Oryza sativa Japonica Group: one gene and its partners. The main gene of each other region encodes a partner of the protein of the gene in region 3 in a complex. Links are inferred from orthologs where the notes say so. Each region holds a gene or a part of one and is shown on either strand. Other genes may lie near its edges.

Region 1 (3,250 bases), on a different chromosome or scaffold from region 3:
GCCGATTCAAGCCTGTCGAGAGACCTGTGTCGAAATAACTATTGTTAGTCTCTGATGACTGATGAGCTGATCGACGGAATACTACGAAGTTCTGCACCCTATACAAGTAGTATATACATGTGCTACCTACTGTGGTAGTGTGGTCTGTACTGTACGTTGAGTGCAGACTGATTGCTGCTGGTTCGCGGCCTGTAGTGGAGCAGCTCAAGTATGATCAGCGGTTCTTCTTCCTCGATCGAATGGCCGTGGCCGACGATGGCGTCCAATTCCCAGCGCGCGACCACCAGCGCAAGCAGGCCGAACTAACGGAGTTTTTTGGGCCAGTCCATCACCGAGCGGCCCGGTAAAGGTAGCCCATAATCGCTACCATTCTGTACTGGACCCAAATAAAGTTGGCCCGACACCGTGAGAGCCGACAGAACGAAAGCATATTGGATCGCCACAATTTGGTTGCGATCTGACAAAACTTCCGTCTCCACAGGGCACGTATATCCACCATGGTGTAGGTCTATATCAGTCGATTTACACAATTTATATATTTTGGAAGCAATATCCACCATGGTGAACGGTACAGGTTCTTTGATTAACATGGAGTAGTACATTCCTTCTTTTAGCCTACACTACAAATGCAATATAATGCATTCATGCAGACGGAGCACCTATTTGCTTTCCTTTTGAGTCTGATGCCAACATTTACAGGCGCTATCAGGCAACTGTGTATCTTGCTATTACACAGCCGCTCTGTACGGTATTACAGAATGCAGCCGCATCGCGCCATGATCATGCAGTCATCCATCCATGCGCAATCTCTCATTCATCCATCAGTTTGTAAGCTGCTCCTCCTTGGCTGCTTCCTCGAGTTCTCTGAGCCCTCCGACCCTCTGCTCGATCTCCTCGAGTAGCTCCTCCCTCAGGAGCTCCTCTCTTGCAGACGCCTCCAGGTCCTCTTGCTGCAGAATCAACCATGGGAGAGTGGAGATCGATCAGCAAAATGACTGGTTATCTTAGTAGCTTCGCACAACTAGAGTTTGTCTAATTGTCTGAATGTTCTTTCTTCGTGATAAAGGAAAAAAAAAAAGCCGTAATGAAAGACATACCCGGTCATAGTACCAGTGCACGGTGCCGTCACCCCCTTGTCCCCTGTACGCCTCACTGTCGTAGAAAGGATCCTGTAAATTCACACAAGACCGTGTCAGTAACACATATCGAAGATGTAATTTCGTTCCAAGTTGTAGTGGCATATGTTCTGCGTGCTTGCCTTCATGGACGCAAAGAAGCAGATGCCCCAGACTGTGAAGAAGGCGTAGAAGGTATCTACGAGACAGACAGAGAAATTTTTTTGTGAAAAGTTTCAGTTTCAGACGTAACAACAAACTGCAGGAAAGGTGAAACGACGACGACGACTCACAGACGCTCTTGAGGGCGGCGTCGCTGAGATGCCAGATCGACTTGTGCACGACGTAGTCCCTCTGCAGGTCGACGTGCTCCACCATCGTCACCATCAGCGTCACCACGTCCAACGGGGACGCGTTCGCCTTCACTGAACCCCTCCCGGCCGATTTCTGCAAACGCTAAGACCGCATTACTTTGCCTCACCAATCACCACGGATTTCTTCTTTCTCGGTGAAAAAATTAAAATGCACTGGGACCTTTCACCTTGCAACGGCTGGAGTTGGACCTCGGGTCATGGAATCCACCGAGCTGCAAATTTAACAACAACATTTGAACAAGTAGGTGAAATTCGCAAGGAATTCAGGAAAGCAGTTTTTGCATGAACGCGAAGGGGAGAATGGACGGTGCGGTACCGTTGCACGGCAGCGGCCATGGAGCTGGGCTCTGTTCGCGGAGTGAAGAGCAGAGAAGTGGGGGGACGACTTGAGCAGCGGCAACGCCATTGCTGGTAGGCTGCTGCTTCAGTAGCGGGTTGGCGATGAGCTTGTTGTTGTCAGTGTAGCGGGCTCACGTTTGGCTCAGGGGTGAAACCTGTAACCTGTAATCTGTATGGAAAATTTTAGTGGATAAGGTCAGACTTTTGGGTGGCCAACCATTGTCTGATCTTGGGCAGACGAAAAGCACAAGAATTTTGGGCTTGGTTGAAGCGGGCTTGAGCGTTGCTAGGCCTTGCCCGGTCAAGGTCATGTTTGGGCCGGATGGGATTAGGTTGACCCGTGGGCTCGTGGCCCGTTACGTGCATCCGTCCGCCATTTCTTGGAGGGCGCTACGGCTTGGCGTCCGGCATCTCACCAAAAATCGGACGCCCATGCAGGCATGTGAGAACGAACCCTGTCACTGTAACGTATGTGTCTAACTGCTTCTTTTCATTCTTTTCTCCTCTCTTTAGATATTTTTTATCCTAAATTACTTATCCAATTTACGATCCGATCACACCGTTCTATTCGTTGCAATTAAATCTTTACAATGAGATATCACATGATTATATTATGTCAAAAGAAAAACATGTATTTCAAAACGTTAAAACAAAATGTTTCGTACGTGATAGTGATATGTTTCAATATGTGTCATCGGTGTGTTTCACAAAATTCATGAAACTAACTGCTACTACTCTCTCTCCTCTCTCTCCACCTCATCCATGCACACATGTATGTATTTTAGCAAGCTTCAAAATAATTTTTCTCTTAAATTACTTATCCAATTTATGATCCGATCACACCATTATATTTGTTCTAATTAAATCTTTACAATAAAATATCACATGATTTTATTTTGATAAAAGAAAAATATATGTTTCAATTCGTTAATACTTGTTGTTTCATATGTGCCAGCGACATGTTTCAACGTGTATTTTCACCATGTTTCATAAAATACTTAAATGTTTCGGTTGTTGATTTTTTTTGTTTCACCATATATAACATAATGTTTCACTTGCTGGTCAACGCTCACCCCCGCACTGCCGCGCGCATACGCATGCATGTAGGCCGCCCATGCTGCATTGTTCACGTGCCACGTTGCTTGCCTCCCCTGTATGTGTTGCTTGCGCTGCTGCTTGCATACGCTCCCTCCCTCTCCCTTCTATTATTACATGTGCCTAATTTTTTCCTCAAATTTTAAATATTTTTTTCTCCAAAATTATATATTCTGATCTAAATTTCAATGATACCATTAGATTCATCATCATTAAATCTTTATAACAAGATCTCACATGGTTATATTTTGATAAAAATATACATGTGTCTCAAAAAATAACTTGTCTCACCATTGATAGAAAACTGTTTCATCACATGTACACAAA
Region 2 (3,859 bases), on a different chromosome or scaffold from region 3:
CAACAACCATGAGGAATTTCATGACACCGAGCAGCATTCAGAGCATCTGACGAAAAAGGTTTTCGTTTTAAACCGACAAGAAGCTTTTGGAATTCTTGAGTCTTCCTGCCACGGAAATGGCAGCTCTCCTTTTCTTCCCTCATTCACCTACCAGTTCTGGCTCTGAACCGGTCAATCGATAGTTCAACTCTCACGATTTGGGTGTTCTTTGGTTTCATAAAAGGATTTTAGGATATTCTCTGAAGTCTGAACAATGCATGTTTCGATTTGATGGTTAACAAACCTATGATTAAATTATCTTGTGGCAATACTGCAGTGCAGACAGCAGTCAAAGGCTCAAAGCTACTACTGCACATGTGCTTTGACACGAACTTTCGACATTTTTTTGAGTACATTAGTATTGATACAGTCGATTAGCTTGCTTGAACTGTTGAAGGTTTGGAAGTCACCAGTCAATCGATATTCAGTCAGAGTTCAACTTCATTTAGTTAGGACTTGCCACAAAGGATGGGAATTTTTGTTGTGTTTGGCTGTACCAATGACAGTATGAATAATGAGACATGTCTTTACAACGTTATACTTACACAAACACAAGACTTTTCTTCTCTAGAAAACATAAGACCAATTTGATAGTATATCAGAGGACCGGTTTGTTATATATCCTTTCACTTCTTGGTACAGATTGCAAATGTAGTACTCTGCGTATTGGAGACCCAAGGAGCTCCGGTGACGCATTTGCTTTCGGCGTCTGGGCTTAGGCATGTCGCACCCTTTCTCTTCATCTGTCCGTAGTCCCGCCTCTTGTATGAAACGCCAAAATTTACTCGAAAATCTGCCAGAGAATGTAACATGCTTATGTAACAAACAACAACCCCTTTAGGCAAGGGATACTGTTTTCAGATGAAAAAAAAATCAGACAGGTTCAGAATACCACCACCATACCTTGTTTGCACCTAGTCTGTTCAAGTCATGCATATTCCTTTTCATCATATGCTCACTTGTAAAATCCAACCAGGAAGATGTCGTATAGGAGTGTGGTGTTGCCGGGAATATTACAGTCTCCTGTTAAATAAGTAAATCTTCTGTAAATTTGTATATTTTTTCTAGCGAATGCTAATAAGGGAGCCAGACAGATAGCACTGAAACATCGTTAAATACATGAAACTTAATCTGGTCTCAAATTTCTAGAATTAAATTAAGATTACTTGTTTGATTACTTTTTTTTTTCTTTCGTTATTACCTGAGAAGCAACCTGCTGGTTCAGGTCCGTATGCCAAAGTTGCAGGTATCATAAGCTTGCGCTTTCCACCTGTAATGTTATTGCGATTTTCAACAGAGACACGATGTGATTAAGAAAAATAAAAGCAGTACTATATTTTTAGCATTTGACACACAAAGAGATGCATATGCTTATTATTTCTGGATTTCTGACAGTACCAACGAGCATGGGTGGCACACCACCGCCACCACTGATTCCCTGTTCAAGCCCTCGGAGGATCTGAGAATGAAAATGCGAACGAACCAAACAATAAGATTCCTTGCATAACTACATAAGATGCTTGCTACGATCGAAGATGTACGTGCAATGAACAAAAGCTGCGCACCTTGCCTGCGCCAAGGCGCATTGTCAGTGGCCGTCCTCGCTTGTAGGTGCTGTCGAACACTATCCCGTCAGTAAATCTTGCAGTGTAGTGTACCTTACAACCATGAACACAACTCCAATTAACACACTTGAAACTCCTATCAGTGTCATGGCGAGAAAAAAATGGCAGGTTTATTCGTTGTCGAACTAACTAAAGGATCGGTACTGATGCAAATTGGGCAAATTTATGATCTGCCAATGCTTAATTACTCCATACAGGAGTTAATCATATTCAGAAAACACAGGTTCTTCTAGAGAAAGTGCGAGAAACTCTTCTGTCGGAACTGACATTTATGAGCTGGCCGCGCGGGGGCTGGGCGCCGGTGCCGACTTCGACGTCGCAGTAGCCGAGCCCCGACTTGACGACGTTCATGTCGCACAGCTTGTCCCCCACCGTCGCGTAGTACTCGATGCGCGTCGCTCCGGCGTCGCCGGCGGGGCACAGAAGCCCAGGGGAAGCCAGGAACCCCGCGCCCAGCGCGAGCAGCCCCCTCCTGCCGGCCGACGTCGCCACCGGGAGACTCCAGGCAGCCGAGCACGAGGTCGACGACGGGGAGGAGGAGGAGGAGCTGCTGCTGCTGTTGCTGCACGCCGCGACGGTGAGCGGCCTGCCCGGTTTGGCGACCGGAGGCGACGGGATTGGGTTGGAGGCCATGAGCGAGAGGGAGGAGGAGATAGGAGGAGGCGCCATCGGTGAGTGAGTCACTTGGGGAGTAGAGAATCGGATTATCCCCAAACTGTGGCTGCTGCAACGCGGGCACCTCTCTGTCGCGTCGTTATAAACGCCCGCGTACGTCGTCACGGGCCATGGGCTTTCCCAACTCAACACCCGAGGACCGAGGAAGGAATCCTCGTTTTTTTTGCGGGCCAAGCCGCGTGTCTCGTCGCCAAACGGCGGCCGTGGCCCGTGGAACGACAGATGATTCCAGGAAAAAGTACACCGAAGGTCCCTCAACTTGTCATCGAGTTACAAAATCGTTTCCCAACCGCAAAACCAGATATCAGGCGTTCCTCAACTAACAAAACCGTTCACTTTAGATCCTTCGGTGGTTTTGACCCCGGTTTTATTTGACGTGACGGCTGAGTCAGCGCGTGGGTCCCACATGTAAGATGCCATATCATCACCTCTCTCTTATTTCCCATTTTCCCCTCCTCTCCCTCCCTCTCTCTCTTCTCAGGGCGGCCAGCGGGTGCGGATTGCGGAGGAGGCTGGTAGGGCAGCTGGCGACGGGTGGCGATGTGGCAACTTGGTGCGGCACCGACGAGGATGGGGTTGGCCTGCAGCCAGAACGCCGCCATCCCCCACAGCTCCCGCAGCGAGCGTATGCTAAGAGGGAGGAGGCGGGGAGGCCGGCAGCGAGTGCATACGAAGAGGGAGGAGGCGGGGAGGGGTTGGAGGTGGGATGAGGGCGAGCTCGCCGGCCTCCCCGCCCCCCTCGCCAGACCTGCTGTAGCGCCCGTTCCGTCGTGGCGCCTAGCGGGGAAATTATCTCTTAAAAACCCTAATTGCGAAATTTGTTTCTTTGCTTGTTGTCTAGTATCCGTGCCATCTCAAGATCTCAATCCCCGATCTATCGTCGAGTTCAATTCCGAATCCAATCCCTCCAAATCAAATTCCTCCGCAAAAGTCCATTTTGCCTCCCCCAGGGTCGATGGGCCGATTTTCCCTCGGCCCATCTTCCCCTCTCTCTCCCGGCTCTCTCTCTCGCTTTCCCCGGCGCGCCCCCGCTCTCTCCCTCTCTCCCTCCGCTCCGCCCCGCGCCGCGCGCGCGAGCGCGCGTCGCCGCGCCGAGCGCCCCTCCCTCGCGCGCCACGCGCGAGCGCGAGAGCCGCGCCCTGCGCCCCTCCGCTCGGCCCCGCGAGCCAGCACGCGTAAGCCGCCCGCGCCGAGCCAAGTCCTCCCTCACCGCTCCCTCGCTGCCGCTTCCCGCGCGCTGTGTTCGCGTGCGCGCGCCCGCGCGGACGCCGCCCGTTGCAAGCCGCGCGCGCGTGCCGAGTGGTCGACCGCCCGGTCGCCGCCGCCGTCAGCCTCTGCACGCGCCTGTCGCCAATGTCGCCGCTCCGCTCCAAGCCGTCCCCCCGTCATCGTCGTCGTCATCGCCCGGCCCCCGCCACTCCGCGCGCAAGCCGCCAAGGGACGGAGCCGCGCCCCTCCTCCCTCTGCCGCGACGCTCCCGCTCCCCTTCCCCTTTTTCCCGAATCGGCAAAGGGGCAAGC
Region 3 (3,028 bases):
TATATTAAAAAAACACGCCATTTAGCAGTTTGAAAAAGCGTGCGCGTAAAATGGGCATCGAACATAGCTTAAGTCTATTTTGCCTCCTTCCACTATTGCGTTGTGCTGAATCGCATCCTCCAAATTCGAAACAGTTACAAATCGATTTCTTCTATTGTTGCAAAGTTTCTACTCACGGGGTAGTTAACCATGGTCAAACTTGTTGACGTGTACAAATGGAATCACATGTAGGGATAGATATCGAGTTGACTCGGCTCGGCTCATCAACAAGCTCGAGCTAGCTCGTTAAGCTCACGAGCTAGGGGCAAGAGACATAGCCGGCGAGCATAGGAAGCAGCTCAACCTCGCCTGCACTTCAAGTCTGCAACTAGGGGAGGAGGGGAGGAGCTTGACGGCGGAGAAAACGAGCTCGAGCTTGAGCTCGACGGCGACTACAGAGAGGAGCTCGATGGTGGAGGGGATGAACTCAACCTTCACAGCTCCGCCGACACTTGGACAGTTCACGGTTGGACCACGAGGAGGAGGCGAGCTCGACGGCGGGCACTGGGGGAGAGGCGGAGAGCGGCGGCGGCAGGCGCTCGATGGGGGTTGGCGGCGGCGGCTTGGCGCGGTGGCGATGGCGCTCACACGGCGGCGTGGCGCAGCGCCGATGGCGATGGCCGAGATGCGGATGCCGAGATGCACCGAGCGCCCAAGCCGCTGATGCGATGCGAATGCGATATGTGCGAGACGGTGGTGGACAGGGAGTCAGGGTCTCAGGCTGAGGTGAACTAGGGTTTTTTTTGATGAGTCTATTGGGCCAATGGGCCATAATGTATGTGTGCTGTTAGCTGTGGACCTGACTTGGCCTGGTAACCCCATAGCTCGTTAAGGCTCGCGAGCAGCTCGAGCTGGCTCGTTATCTCTAACGAGCTAAGATGCCAGCTCGGCTCGTTAGGAAATTCAAACGAGACAAGCCAAGTCGAGCCTGTCACGAGCCGAGTGAGCTAACGAACCACAAGCTTTCTGTCCACCCCTAACCACATGTAAATGCCTTGGTTTGCACCAGATTGAGAGGAGGAAGAGAGAAGATTGAGAAGATACACAAAACGAGGTGAGACATTAGCACATGATTAATTGAGTATAAACTATTTTAAACTTAAAAAATTGATTAATATGATTTTTTAAAGCAACTTTCGTATAGAAAATTTTTACAAACACACCGTTTAGTATTCGGGAAGTGTGTGCGTGGAAAACGAAACAAACTAACTCAAAATCACTGAATCACCTCCTGCAGAATAAGAAGATGGTGGAGGCATTATACCAGGTTTAGCGGTTAAGAGAGACGATTCAATCAAGAGCGAGAGAGGAGGGAGGCAAGTTAGACTAATTCCTTCATGCAGCCATTCTGTCGGCCCCTAGGAGAGGCAGCCCCATCAAACCGAGAGAAATATCTATGTGGTGCACTTTTGCAAAGGCGAAGGTTTTCCTCATCCTCTCGTGGCATCGCGCGCTATCCATTCATTCCCTTGCTACACTGACACACATCCTCGATGGCCACTTATCTCCAATCAGCAGGCCTCACCGCCGCCACTGCCAGCACCAGCCGCCTCCTCCGGCCAACACCACGGAGGCTGCTCCTCCTCGTGGCGGCGTGCTCCACTGGCGGACGGAGATCAGCCTGCCTCTCCGTCGGCCTCGCAGCCGCCGCCGCCACCATCTTCCAGCATCATCCCGCCTGCGCCGCCACCGACGACGAGCCGGCAAACAATGGGTGGTGGCTCACCGAGTTCCCTTTGCCGGTGCCAAAGATTGTCAACAGTGAGTAGTAAATTAATTACCATTACACACACAAAATATATAAATATAGTGATTGCAATATATATATATATATATATATATATATATATATATATATATATATATATATATATATATATATATATTGTGTGTGCAGAGGAGCTGAACAATGGCGAGACGGGGAGCCGGACGTTCGTGAGGAACGGCATCTACATAGCCGACATCGGGCCGAGCTACGCGGCGCACGCGTACAGGCTGCGGAGCACGGCGTTCGACCTGCTGGCGCTGGAGGACCTGCTGGGCAACAACGCCGACAGGGCCAACTACGTCACCAAGTACCTCCGCCTCAAGTCCACCTTCATGTACTTCGACTTCGACAAGCTCATCTCCGCCGCCTCCGACGACCAGCGCCCCCCGCTGCTCGACCTCGCCACCCGCCTCTTCGACAGCTTCGAGCGCCTCCAGAAGGCCTGCGGCACCAAGGACGACACCCAGATCGGCTCCTCCTATGCCGACACCAAGATCATCCTCCAGGAGGTCATGGCAAAGATGGCCTAGTGTTTCTGTTGGTGTACTAGCTAGTACTGTATTTCTCTCACTTTACTTGTCATACATACATATATATATATATATATATATATCCTCCTCATCACACACATATTCATATTCACATCTACGCTATGCAATATAACTTCATACTCAGTAAGTACTAAAAAGCAACAGAGCATTTCAATTCCAATTACTTGTCTGTCTTTATCATCCAAACAAAGCCAGCCCAACACAACACAGGGCACTTCTCCAATAAAATACAACCAACCTCACATCTTGTTACTACCACTGCACATTGATGCAGCCACAAATTAGATACTACAGTACTATCTGTAATGTAATGCAATGCGATGCTCGTACAATCAACAAAGCCACATGCCAAATCAGAATATTATACACACCCTCTAAGCAACCAACACACGGAGGGGATGCAAATGATCCATTGCATCCCTCAAACAACACACAAATACAATTAGTCATGGACATTCATTTTGTCCAAGCCAACTCATCCTTGCGCCAAGCTACGCACTTGGGTTTGACGACGAGGGATGCCAATCTCGCACGAGTTCACCCGTGCTGCGAACCGTAGCGAGCAAATTGACTCCCCTGTAGACGACACCTCTGGAGACAGATTCACAAACATAAGTGTCTTCGAGTCTCCTCCAAGGCATGGCTGTGTCCAAGGGGAACAAAATCATTC

The links. Proteins that work in one complex are often made in the same cells at the same time.
Region 1: photosynthetic NDH subunit of lumenal location 3, chloroplastic (region 3) and photosynthetic NDH subunit of subcomplex B 4, chloroplastic share a complex: the UniProt entries of both Arabidopsis thaliana proteins name them as parts of the chloroplast NDH complex. The link is inferred for Oryza sativa Japonica Group from reciprocal best matches to the Arabidopsis thaliana genes PnsL3 and PnsB4.
Region 2: photosynthetic NDH subunit of lumenal location 3, chloroplastic (region 3) and photosynthetic NDH subunit of lumenal location 4, chloroplastic share a complex: the UniProt entries of both Arabidopsis thaliana proteins name them as parts of the chloroplast NDH complex. The link is inferred for Oryza sativa Japonica Group from reciprocal best matches to the Arabidopsis thaliana genes PnsL3 and PnsL4.

Annotation. Positions count from the first base shown.
Region 1 is NC_089036.1:31,696,118-31,699,367, reverse strand, and holds photosynthetic NDH subunit of subcomplex B 4, chloroplastic, read right to left. Parts: upstream 2,002-3,250; 5' UTR 1,896-2,001; coding exon 1,806-1,895; intron 1,702-1,805; coding exon 1,657-1,701; intron 1,563-1,656; coding exon 1,409-1,562; intron 1,315-1,408; coding exon 1,259-1,314; intron 1,170-1,258; coding exon 1,098-1,169; intron 951-1,097; coding exon 822-950; 3' UTR 515-821; downstream 1-514. UniProt on the Arabidopsis thaliana protein: NDH shuttles electrons from NAD(P)H:plastoquinone, via FMN and iron-sulfur (Fe-S) centers, to quinones in the photosynthetic chain and possibly in a chloroplast respiratory chain.
Region 2 is NC_089036.1:32,085,083-32,088,941, reverse strand, and holds photosynthetic NDH subunit of lumenal location 4, chloroplastic, read right to left. Parts: upstream 2,409-3,859; 5' UTR 2,334-2,408; coding exon 1,932-2,333; intron 1,698-1,931; coding exon 1,605-1,697; intron 1,499-1,604; coding exon 1,438-1,498; intron 1,310-1,437; coding exon 1,241-1,309; intron 1,063-1,240; coding exon 995-1,062; 3' UTR 943-994; intron 833-942; 3' UTR 515-832; downstream 1-514. UniProt on the Arabidopsis thaliana protein: NDH shuttles electrons from NAD(P)H:plastoquinone, via FMN and iron-sulfur (Fe-S) centers, to quinones in the photosynthetic chain and possibly in a chloroplast respiratory chain.
Region 3 is NC_089041.1:312,208-315,235, forward strand, and holds photosynthetic NDH subunit of lumenal location 3, chloroplastic, read left to right. Parts: upstream 1-1,458; 5' UTR 1,459-1,532; coding exon 1,533-1,800; intron 1,801-1,936; coding exon 1,937-2,337; 3' UTR 2,338-2,518; downstream 2,519-3,028. Other genes in the region: kinesin-like protein KIN-14N, read right to left, coding at 2,834-3,001. UniProt on the Arabidopsis thaliana protein: NDH shuttles electrons from NAD(P)H:plastoquinone, via FMN and iron-sulfur (Fe-S) centers, to quinones in the photosynthetic chain and possibly in a chloroplast respiratory chain.